Arabidopsis thaliana: one gene and its partner. The protein of the gene in region 1 interacts with the protein of each later gene in a biochemical or structural test. Each region holds a gene or a part of one and is shown on either strand. Other genes may lie near its edges.

Region 1 (7,952 bases):
AGACGATGTGCTGCCTAAAATAAAACTCTTATGTTGTCTTTTTTTCCTGAATTTATTATTTTAATGTTATGAGCAAATCTCCAAACTTTAATATTCTAATCATTTTAACCTGACAAACTTTGTGTTTGTGTATATATTTATATTCCTGCAAGTTTTTTTTCTCCTTTAGCGAAAACATATGAACTTTCGACTACAAAAAATCAGATGTAACAAATCTTCAATTAAATAAAAGCTACACATTAGTAGAGATCACCAATATGTTCCAGCTGCAGTAACTACAGGTGCACCATTAAAATGTAAACAAAAATTAGGACTACTGGACTAGAATTACTTTCCAAAAAATTCGATGAATATGAAAAACAAAACGCCGAAATTGTAAATATCTAAAAAGGAGGAAAGTTGGATGACATATGTGTAAACTATGAAAGTCATAACATTGATTTGAAGTCATCATCCATATCTTTGCACGTGTCTCACAGTCACTCGCACGCATCCAAATCTCTCTATTTCTCTTAAGATTCTAGCCGTACTACTTCCACACAACTTGTCTCATGTCATGTTTTTAATGGCATTTTTAAAGGATAGTGTTATTTAATTGATTTGGTTTCAGTGAAAAAAAAAAAGAAAAAATTATGGTTATTTCCCTTCTTTACAACAAACAAAATTTGATTTAAATAAGCAAATTGTTTGTTGTCCCTAGGTATAAATAACATTTAGGTACTATATATAAAAGTAAAGAAGCCGGAAGAAAAGTTGGATTACGAAAAAGAAGAAGATTAAGATTACATAGGCTCATGGAATAAGAGCAAAGAAGAGAATGTGCATGTGCCAAATGCCAAACACAAAGGCATGCCTTGTTTCTTCAAAAGAGCAAATTATGCAAAAGTACATATTTGAGAAACAAGAACACTAACAATAAGGTTTGGGAAGAGTTATGGCAATAAACAAAGATCTCTCCCTATGTGAATAATAATCATAAGAGGTGGTGAAGAAAAAAAGAAGAAGAAGAAGACAAAACATGAGAGGATCGAAGATCAGTCATATGTTTGGTTTTACTACACAGTGTAGTGACTGGGAGTTTCAATGTCCAAGCCCTTTAGCTTCACGACTGATTCCACATGTCCCTTGAGTGTGTGCAGCTCCCTAAGCCTGTTTAACATATAACAATTCAATTAGTGTTTAATTCCAACAAAAAAATACACTTAGATTAAAAAGAATCGTGTGTGATCGGATTTATTACCTAGCGATCTCAGCTCTTCTCTTAGCTTGCTCAGCGATCTCAGACAATTCTCTGTAACTTCCTTTCTCAGGGAAGATGTTAACAGCTTCTTTTGGCTGTAAACCGTGAAGTGTCCTTTGAGCAAGTGCCCATTGAGCCTCTCTCTCTTCTTTTCCGTAATCTTTCTTCATCGTGAAAGCCGTCTTGTTCTCAAACAAGTTGAGCCACGCCTTTCCGCTCAAGATGTATCGAATGGCAAACTTGAAAACGTCCAATGGGAAGTATGTGACAATACTGTATAGCCAGATCACACCAGCCCATCCCCATCCAATACCCCTAATCTTTGCAAATTCCCAGTTGGCGTAAACCGCAATCAAAGTAGCAATCTGCATTTGGAAGAATGAATGGATTTAACGGGTGCTTCTTTGAGAACCTTTTTACCAAACAAGAATTCCCTTAAAATGTTGATTTGATGAACTTACCAGTTGTGCAATGAGGAAAGCAATCATCAGCAATGCTCCAGGACGTTCAACAAAAGACCAACTCCTTGATCTTGTGACGAAGATCAGAGCTTGACTAATGATACTAACTTGTAAGTACACCGCACCCATTAGCTCGTGGTTATTGTCCCTAATGGACCTCACACCGAATGTGTCCTGTGAATCCAATGTGAAATTTACTTTACAACTCTGAACAAGAACCTAAGAAAAAACTTCTGTAAAAGAGAAATTAATTAGCTCAATTGTATGTACCGAGAAAAAGTCAGTCTTGTGCGCCGCCCAGAAGAAAATAACAGTCATGATGGCCTGGTAGCCTCCTAGAACGACTCCAGTAGCAAAAATTTCTTTAAGTTTCCAGCTATCAGGTGTGGGAGATGGCTTAACTCTGTCCTTTGAGATTGTCATGATGGTACCTATAAGATCAAGATAGCAACACAATACCAAAAGATATAAGTAAACATTGTAGAAAAAGTAAACAAATTTTGAGGTTTATACAAAAGGACAGCCATTGCTCACCGTCGTTAAGAATGGCAATGATCAGAACCATGAAGGCTGAGAAGTCAAATTCCCATATCAAAGCAATAAGCATGAAACCAAACTGCAAAAAGTTTCAACGCAATATGATCAGCATACTATTAATCCAAGATAAAACCAACAAGGGCCAGAACTCAAACGGATTTATTTGCATACCACAATACGGATGGTGATTGAGACTGCATAGATCTGTAACAAGAGAGAAAAATAGAACAGAGTAATTAGTTTCAATTGCAAGCAAGCAAGTGGTTGGAATAAATTAAGGATGAAAAATAGGAGAAGACGCACAGTATAGTTCTTCATTCTCTGGAAAATAGCTCTGCTGGTGAGAACAGCACTGATAATAACGCTGAGTCCAGGCTCAGTGAGCACGATATCTGAAGCACCACGAGCAGCATCTGTAGCATCAGCAACAGCAATACCGATATCAGCTTTCTTTAGAGCAGGGGCATCATTGACACCATCACCAGTCATTCCAACAATATGCTTCCTCTCCTGCAACTTTTTCACAATTTCGTATTTGTGCTCTGCAATAAAAAAAACAAAGCTTAGAACTAACATCACCACCTTTGCAATGAACATATAGTGAGGTTTATAATCCAAACAATAAATAAGCAGATTATAACCTGGGAAGACTCCGGCAAATCCATCAGCCTTTTCAATCAACTCCTCAACAGGAATGGATGCGAGGTTTGCGTCTTTGTGTGTACCAAGAAGAGCCGAAGATGGATACATGTTTGTTCCCATTCCAAGTCTGCGACCAGTTTCCTTACCAATAGCAAGTTGGTCACCTGGCCACATATGTGTTCAAGAGAATGTTAGGGGGAACTTGTGAAGGTGTATAGCTAGCACAACAAGATAGATGGGTAGACAAATTTACCAGTGATCATCTTGACGTTAACACCAAGATTCAAAGCCCGTCGAATTGTTTCAGCACTGTCATGTCTTGGGGGATCAAAAAGTGGCAACAAGCCAACAAATTCCCATGGCGCACCTGGGCTTTCCTTTGTTTTCTCTGGCACCACCTACAAAAGGGAATAAGAAGACAAACAGTTGAACATTTGTTACCACTGAGAAAAGAAAAGCAAAAAGGGACTGGAACTATCAGTATTAATGGCGAATAAGTACCTGGCGAGCAACAGCCAACGACCTAAGACCACGCTCAGCATACTTGTCAATAATGGAGAGCACCTTCTTGCTAAGATCATTGCTGGCTTTGGCAAGTTCGAGGATCTGTTGGGAGAATCAAATCAGTATAAAAAAGAAAGGTAAGAAAAAAAAAGGATTAGCTTGTAAAATTAAGATCCATCACCTGCTCAGGAGCACCTTTACTGACTCTGTGCCAGTTACCACTGCCGTCAATGTAAGTCAAAGCAGTTCTCTTATCCACAGGGTTGAATGGAAGGAAGTGAACTTCCCTGATTCCAGCTCTAGCCTGTGAAAATCCCAATCAAACATCAGAACATGTTTCTTGGACGCTCAGTAAAACTACAAATAACATGTGAACCAAAAAGGGTTATACCTCCTTTGGATCAGCAAGCATCCCAACCATGGCTGCATCAATGGCATCCTGGTTCTCAACCCTGGAAGCCATAGCTGCAAATAATAGGACTTGATCTTTCTCCACACCCTTGCAGAAAACCTCGACCAAGTTTTTGTCCACACTCAATTTGTTGAGGGTTAGTGTCCCGGTTTTGTCACTGCACAGGACATCCATTCCTGCCATCTCTTCAATGGCAGTCATACGCTTGGTGATGGCACCTTGCTGAGACAACCTGTGAGACCCAATAGCCATGGTCACGGACAAGACTGTAGGCATAGCAATGGGGATACCACCGATCAAGAGGACCAAAAGGTTGTCAATTCCATCTCTGTACTTTCGGCGTTGGATCGGATACATGACGATGATCTCAATCACCATACCGATAGCAATGGAACAGATACAGAAGTTCCCAATGGCTGTAAGAACCTTCTGGAAATGTCCAACTTGGTTAGTGCTGTCCACAAGGTGAGCAGCTTTACCGAAGAAGGTATGAACCCCAGTGGCAATAACAACCGCCTCGATTTCTCCTTGTTTGCAGGTTGAACCAGAGAAAACTTCTTGACCCGGGTGCTTGGTTACAGGAAGGGACTCTCCAGTTAGAGCAGATTGGTCAACCTTTAAAGGATCACCTTCAAGTAGACGGGCATCAGCTGGGATAATGTCTCCTAATTTAATGCTAACAATATCTCCTGGGACAAGAATAGCAGCTTCTTGTTCACTCCACTTTCCATCCCTAAGAACCTGAAACAGAGAAACATCACAACAAGAACCAAAACATTAGCTCTAGGGAAAATTCAGAAAGTTCTGTATAACAAATTCACACCATTCATTCTCTTATCATATATATACCTTGGTTTTAGGAGCAAGACCAGCCATAAGAGCAGCAGCAGCATTACCAGCATTGTTTTCTTCGATAAAACTGATGGTAGAGTTGATAACCAACAGACAGATAATACCAACAAAATCCTGCCAATCCGGAGGCCTACCATCACCGTTGGCCAAAGCAATGGCCATGATTGCAGCCATTTCCATGACCCATGAAAGTGGATTCCACATAAACCCCAAAAACTTCAGAAGTTTGCTTTCCTGTCAATTTTCATTGCACAAATCACCAAACACTCAGTAACAAAAAAAAAGGAGACCAACTATGTATTTTATCTGAGAGCTACAAATGCAAAATCAGACCTTTTTCTCTTCGAGCTTGTTGGGGCCAAAGATCTGAATCCTGTCCTCCCCTTCCTGCGTTGTCAATCCTTCCCTTGAACATTTTAGCTGCTGGAAAACTTCCTCAATCGGAATTTTTTCCTGAAAAAATCAAAAGCAAATTCGATCAGATGACCAAATCCAAACAACTCAAACTTTCACATACACAAAACAAGTTTCTAAACCTTAAAAAGGAGAAACCTTTTCTTAAGTAAAACAGAAAACTTTGATGATTTTGTAACCGTAGATAAATCTACTCTGTTTCATAAGTACAATAGTTGGAAAAAAGTCGTTGACTAGTTCGGTGACAATGAAATATTTTTGGCGGGGGGGAAATAGCGGTGGTGAAGTGGGGACCGCCACCACCGACCAACGTGATGGCGACGTGAAACACACGCGCCGAAAGATTCCCCTCACTTCCCGGCGTAAAAATCGAGGCTTGGTCGCGTAAATACAGTCCAAAGTTATGTAAAAGTAGCATTTTAATAAAAAAGATTCAAATTATTGTCCCAAGAAACACAGAAAAGAAGTTACGTCTGCACAAAAGATGTGTTCTTTTTTGTTGGTTGCTAAAGACAGAGAAGTTAAACGTACCACGGAAAGGTACAACCAAAAAAAAAATCCGAACTTCGTGTTAAGTAACAGATTTGATTAAAGTCATATTTATTTTTTCTAAATACCACCAAATAAATTCTTACTAGTAACCAAAAAAAGAGAAGACAAAACATTGTACAAGTAGGTTTGGACTTTATTGAGACGTAGCTAGCTCCACCACTGAAAAAAGAGACTCTGTTTTCTTTATCTTGTTTGTTTACTAGTATATCACATGCTTAGATCTACTTTTTTCTCATGAACAAACTCTTCATGTCCTCCAAACGTTTCTTAGACTTAATTACTACCCAGAAACAAAAATATAGTCTTTCTAAACAAATTTCACATATTCAAAACTAAATCGATGAAAATGTATATATAAAAAACGAAACCATAATGAGAGTAAGTAATAACCAAGGAAAGACTTTAAAGCCACCAAGTGGATACAGATCTACTCTCATTCAGGCAGATCATCGAACAGTTTGTGAGCATAAAATAAAAACAGAGGATAAAAAATGGTATACCAGATCAACAGTCTCGTTCTTGATATCTTCGAGACTCGACATCTCTCACCACTCCTTCACTGAGAAAAACGACGGCGAATTAGTACTCAACACGACAGCTTTGTCCGCCGTTTCACTCGATCATATGTATTCCGGCAAAATAGAGAGAAGGAGAGGAGGAGAGATTAGGTGGTTCTGTTGCAGAGTCGATACGAGTCCTCTTTTTATAAGCCACTAAAAACGACGATTTTCTCCGCCGTTTTGGCTATGTGGGTCCCATTACCAAGTAGTCTCTCTATATTTATTACCCTTTTTATTTATTTTGCTGCCTCTTTAAGTTCTTAATCACCCTTTGACCGTTGATTAATGTAATATTTTTGGCTTATGAACCCGAATCAAATTTGTATATATTTTGTGGGTCCTAATTACACTTTAATTATGGAATAATTGTTCATTTTAAACAACAAAATTTTCTACCGTTAATAATTCTTATTTTCTTTTTATTTTGAGATATTTTGATGTTTTATAGTAGTTTGAAAAGGGACTCTAAGGAGGAAGTAGCTTATAAGAGAAACTAATTTGTAATATCTCTTTTTTTAATTACTAGATCATAGACTTTGGTGTTTTTTTTCTTTCTTTTGTCATGAATCATTATATCAAGAAAGAAATATTTGGTGGAGGTATACATTGCTTGGATTTTTTAATTTATATTTGACTAAGCAACATACTACTTGCTGCTTAGCCTGTCCTCTTCTTCATTTTTCTTTTTTTTTTTTTGGACACCTATTAGGTTTTGTTTAAAGAAAGATATTTCTTTCTGAAAATTTCAACTAATACTATATTTTCTTAACAAAATCGTTTTCCAACTGGTTTAGGTTCGTTTTTTCTAAATTTGTTTTTTCGATAAGCAATAATGGGTTACTTCGGTTTTGTTTCCATTTTTTCTTTCTCAACCATACAAATACTTCTCCAAGCCAAAACACTTTAAATCTCTGAAATTTTGACAGAGATGCTTATAACAAAAACTACATACCTTGATTAAGCAGGTAAGAAAACTACTTTTTCTTACTATTTTTACATTATATCAGTTGGTGTGGATCGTAATTAGTTACGACGGACTAATTTATATAGTAGTAATTTGTAGAATAGTAATTTTAATATATATAGTTATTTGTGGCCCTAACGTTGATAATGAAAATATTGGCCCTTCCAAGGTGTGCCTCATGGCAAGGTCAGCAATGGGAACGATGTCACATGTTAATAATTGAATAAAAACCATAGTGTTAATTAAATTTGTTCCCTCTGAAGATATACTGAGAAATTGACTTTTGATTGTGATGGGTCCCCCAATAATACAAAGTTCGTCATTTCCAACTCCTCTACGTTTTAACTTCTTAGGATTCATGTCCTAATTAATAAGTGTTCAAGTCTAAACAAACGTCTCGTAAATTAGGTAAAGAGAATATGTACAAGATACGAAAATCATTTCTTGTCTTTTCTTTTCTTTTCACAAATGATGGATAGAAAAATTGTAAACAAAATGATTTTATTTATCACATTTTTTTATCATGGGGTAACAAGTTTTAGATTATTGTATACAGTAACATACTTTACATATATATCATACTATTTATTTGAATAAAATACAAAAAGACATCACTTATTTACAGTTTGCCACAATATTTCTTTACCAATATAATTTTGGTAATCTAGTAAAATAAGTTCACTATGTATTTAATTTTGCAGCTCAAATGAACCTTAACTAAATTATTTAAAATATAAGATATAATATATTATCATCTAGTTGACTTAAATGACTCTTACAAACACATTTAAAAACTTATCATGTCATATATATG
Region 2 (4,190 bases), on another chromosome or scaffold:
AGTCACACCAATTGATGAGGTTGGCCTTATCGAACTAGTGGAACCGTCATATGCGAAACCAAATATAAGAAATGAATGAAAGACCTTTCAACAAAATTAATAAGCAAGTAGAAGTAAATCCAATATCAATATAACAATTGGTTAAACCTAAATTATATGCATCCAATACGAAAATTCTTTTTTTGGTATCTTTTAATCCGTTTATTATATTTGTGGAGCCTAAGTTGCGGATCCACTTGTATTCCTTATTTGAATCATTGTTATCATTTCTCATTGTTTGTGACTCGTGAGCTAGAAGAAACAAAAACAAAAGGATAACGTAATTTTGATATTTAAAGTAAACCACTATAAATCATTGTGTGTGTGTTTTTTCTTGTTTTAAAAGATCGAATTAGGGAGCCTAACATGTTTTTGTCTCAAGAGATTATTATCATTAAAAAAAACAAGTGGAAGTGGAAGTTGTGTAACCCACTTGTTGAATTCTTAACTTCGAAGCACAACAAAAAGATAGACGAAAAACGAAAACTCGATCTAACTTCGACATATGCATTAGATAACATATAGAAATTTAAACAATCTCGTTGATGAAATTGGTCTATCAACACACGACAGTGGTTCTCTCTACAGTAGCATCAAATCGGTGGATCCTTATGAACAGAAAAAACGAGGAGGGACAGAGGAAGGCCAATGAGGGGTCATGCAAAATGGAACTTAGCAAAAGTACCAAAAAGATCCATCCTCTTTGAAAATTCATTTCAGCCCCATAATTATCCATGACATGAATTTCGATCTGAATCTCACAACAAGTAAGAGATCAGCTTTTGATAACATTAAAGAAAAAGGTAAAAAAAAGAAAGACGAGAGACTGAGAAAAGGGCAAAGACCTGTAGGGGTTAAGACAGCTAAGAGTGTTCCTCAGTCGCCCCACAAATGTCTTCTCTCCTCTCTCTTCAGTCTTTCTCAGCTCTCAAATCTTTAAATGGTTCCAAGTTCAATGCTCCCAAAACCCACGCCCACACATGCATCCTATGACCTTTCCTTTTCTATCCATTTTCTTCCCACAAATTACCACTTTGCAAACAAAAGCCAAAAACTCATTTACAAGATGAGTTAATAAAGACACTAACACACAACCAATGTGAAAACAGACGTTTACATGAGATATTGTTACCTCTAAGAAGTCATTAATCATATAATGAGAACATTCTTGCTTCCTAAGTTTTTACAAGATTATTAACCTCTAAGAAAGGAGAGACACTTTTAACGCAATAATAACTACATGATGTTATAAATATAGGAGAGAGTAGAAAAGAATATGACAGCCCTACTAAGACAGAGAATCATCATCGAACAGTAAAGAGGAGAATCTCTGAATATCCACTTTAAACTACTGCCCTCTTGTCTTAACTCTCAGAACCATTTAATTTTTCAGTTATTTTGACCCATACCCTTTTTGGCCTCTTTCCCTGCTTTCCAACACCTTCACACTTACTCTAGGGCTTCCACGGCTATATATATATGGTCCCTTCCTTAAACTTGTATCTCATAATTCACAACCAGCACTGCTACTACTAGTTTATCATTATTCCATCAATTTATTCTATATAGAGTTCTTCTCTGTTTATATTACGATATTGCTCGAAGATTACATACCTGAGAAAGATGGTTAAACCCTGTTGGAGAATAGGTGCCGGTATGGAGAGAAGTAAGATCAATCCCACAAAGGTTGATGGTTTGACATGGTACAAAGATCTTGGTCTTCACACCTTTGGAGAGTTTTCCATGGCAATGATCCAAGCCAACAGTGTGATGGAGGATCAGTGCCAGATCGAATCAGGGCCGCTTACATTCAACAATCCGACAGTTCAAGGCACATTTGTTGGAGTTTACGATGGCCATGGAGGTCCAGAGGCTTCCAGATTCATTGCAGACAACATCTTCCCCAAGTTAAAGAGTAAGACACCGACTTTTTTTATTTCCTTTATTGTTGAATCTGCCAGGCACACTAACACTGGTCTCACATGAACAGAGTTTGCGTCCGAGGGTAGGGAGATTTCAGAGCAGGTGATCAGCAAAGCATTTGCCGAGACAGACAAAGATTTTCTCAAGACAGTGACGAAGCAATGGCCTACGAACCCACAGATGGCATCAGTGGGGTCATGTTGCTTGGCAGGAGTGATATGCAACGGATTGGTGTATATTGCAAACACGGGAGATTCCAGAGCTGTGTTGGGCAGATCTGAGAGAGGTGGAGTGAGAGCTGTTCAGTTATCTGTAGAGCACAATGCCAATCTTGAGTCTGCGAGGCAAGAGCTATGGTCATTGCATCCTAATGACCCCACCATTCTTGTGATGAAGCACCGCTTGTGGCGTGTGAAAGGCGTTATCCAGGTAAACATTCATACATGATAACGCATCTGATAACCTGCACAGAGTTTTGCTTCATCAGTTTCTATGAAATACAAAAGCTTAAGAAAATCATATATTGAAGCCTATCTTGTGTAAGGATGTAAAACTGACTAGCAAATGTGTTATGACCTTTAACCAGGTCACAAGATCCATAGGTGATGCATACCTCAAAAGAGCAGAGTTCAACAGAGAACCTTTGCTGCCCAAATTCAGACTACCAGAACATTTCACTAAGCCAATCCTTAGTGCGGATCCATCAGTCACCATTACGCGGCTTAGCCCACAAGATGAGTTTATAATTCTTGCTTCAGATGGGCTTTGGGAGCATCTTAGCAACCAGGAAGCTGTTGATATTGTGCATAATTCCCCTCGACAAGTAAGTTCAATGCCTAACCCATATACAAATACGTTACATACTAGCACAATGCACACCAAGAACTATTCGTTAATACTAATACCTTCACAATCACAGGGAATAGCAAGGAGACTACTTAAAGCTGCATTGAAGGAAGCAGCAAAGAAAAGAGAGATGAGATACTCAGACCTAACAGAGATCCATCCTGGTGTAAGAAGGCATTTCCACGACGATATAACCGTTATTGTGGTCTATCTCAACCCCCACCCGGTCAAAACCAATTCTTGGGCTTCACCTCTGTCAATTAGAGGGGGATACCCGATGCATTCAACATCATGAACAGATCTTACGGCAAAAACACTTCCTGTGTCAAGGGCAATAAATTGGAGCCAGGGTCAAGAAAAGAACTAGTAGTATAGCTAGAAACAATATTAAGTTATGAGATCTTTGATATGTTCTCCACAAGAAAACATGAATTCTCATGTACCCCTGTATGCAAAATTATACACGAGGGTACTTGCATGCAATATCATCAATGTCAACGCTGGTAAAATTCGAAAGCGTTGCAACATATTGGAGTTTAGGCACAAAACAGTAGATAGCCAAGAAATGTGTTGAAACTTAACATTACATTCCCTTTATAAAAGTTTTCTGGCGCTTCATTCAAAATTAACAGAAAGCAAGTATCAACAAAAGTTTATCTAAAATCTATTACAGAAACAAAGAAACTGTGTAGCATCAGAAGCCAGCAAAAACGCAGTCCCACGAACAGAGAATTTAGAATCTGAGGCTCTCTTTCCTTCAACTGCCATAGAGACCAGAGATATGGAAACCAACAAGTACATCTATAGTTCTAATGATGTCTTACATGACAAAGAAATTCTGAAGTAGCGGCTTGAGAGGTCATATGAAATTAAGTAACCTAAGAACGACACATGTTTATGGGATCCATTTTGCATGCAATATTCGCAATCAAGCACAGAACACCAGTAGACCAGCTAAATTTCGTAACCAAGACTAAGAAAAACTAGCAAAATAGGCACAACTCAAAAGTAATCAACACTTCTAATTTCTAACTAGTTCAAAACAGTAAAAAAATGTCTCCCTTACTTAAATATTTGCTGCATGCAGTACAAATTTTCAATTGCTGGTGCTTGTGCTTGATACGAACATGCAATACTAAAAGGACCATCCACATTCCAATATATTAAAACGAAATAAAGTTATTAATCAAACTATACTTACCACTCCAAGAACCTGCAACATGGAAAACATCAATACCAGCCACTTCAGAATTCCTAGGTCCTAAACACATTGATAATTGTCATTTCAGACAATCAGAACTATAGGTTACTTATTGGTTTCTCAAGATCTCATCTGGTGATTGCTCCACGACCGAACTTAGTAAAGATACTACACACATGGA

Evidence for each region.
Region 2: of the proteins of HA2 (region 1) and AT5G02760, one has a biochemical effect on the other in vitro, tested with the Arabidopsis thaliana proteins (one study listed by BioGRID).

Annotation. Positions count from the first base shown.
Region 1 is NC_003075.7:14,769,765-14,777,716, forward strand, and holds HA2 (H[+]-ATPase 2), read right to left. Parts: upstream 6,295-7,952; 5' UTR 6,157-6,294; coding exon 6,115-6,156; intron 5,102-6,114; coding exon 4,982-5,101; intron 4,883-4,981; coding exon 4,646-4,882; intron 4,538-4,645; coding exon 3,776-4,537; intron 3,689-3,775; coding exon 3,566-3,688; intron 3,487-3,565; coding exon 3,382-3,486; intron 3,279-3,381; coding exon 3,134-3,278; intron 3,045-3,133; coding exon 2,542-3,044; intron 2,443-2,541; coding exon 2,410-2,442; intron 2,318-2,409; coding exon 2,236-2,317; intron 2,133-2,235; coding exon 1,972-2,132; intron 1,876-1,971; coding exon 1,702-1,875; intron 1,606-1,701; coding exon 1,241-1,605; intron 1,150-1,240; coding exon 1,056-1,149; 3' UTR 801-1,055; downstream 1-800. UniProt on the Arabidopsis thaliana protein: The plasma membrane H(+) ATPase of plants and fungi generates a proton gradient that drives the active transport of nutrients by H(+)-symport. The resulting external acidification and/or internal alkinization may mediate growth responses.
Region 2 is NC_003076.8:623,715-627,904, forward strand, and holds AT5G02760 (Protein phosphatase 2C family protein), read left to right. Parts: upstream 1-1,539; 5' UTR 1,540-1,662; coding exon 1,663-1,954; intron 1,955-2,029; coding exon 2,030-2,391; intron 2,392-2,548; coding exon 2,549-2,785; intron 2,786-2,881; coding exon 2,882-3,103; 3' UTR 3,104-3,410; downstream 3,411-4,190. UniProt on the Arabidopsis thaliana protein: Dephosphorylates and represses plasma membrane H(+)-ATPases (PM H(+)-ATPases, e.g. AHA1 and AHA2), thus influencing negatively plant growth and fitness. Promotes the apical hook maintenance of etiolated seedlings.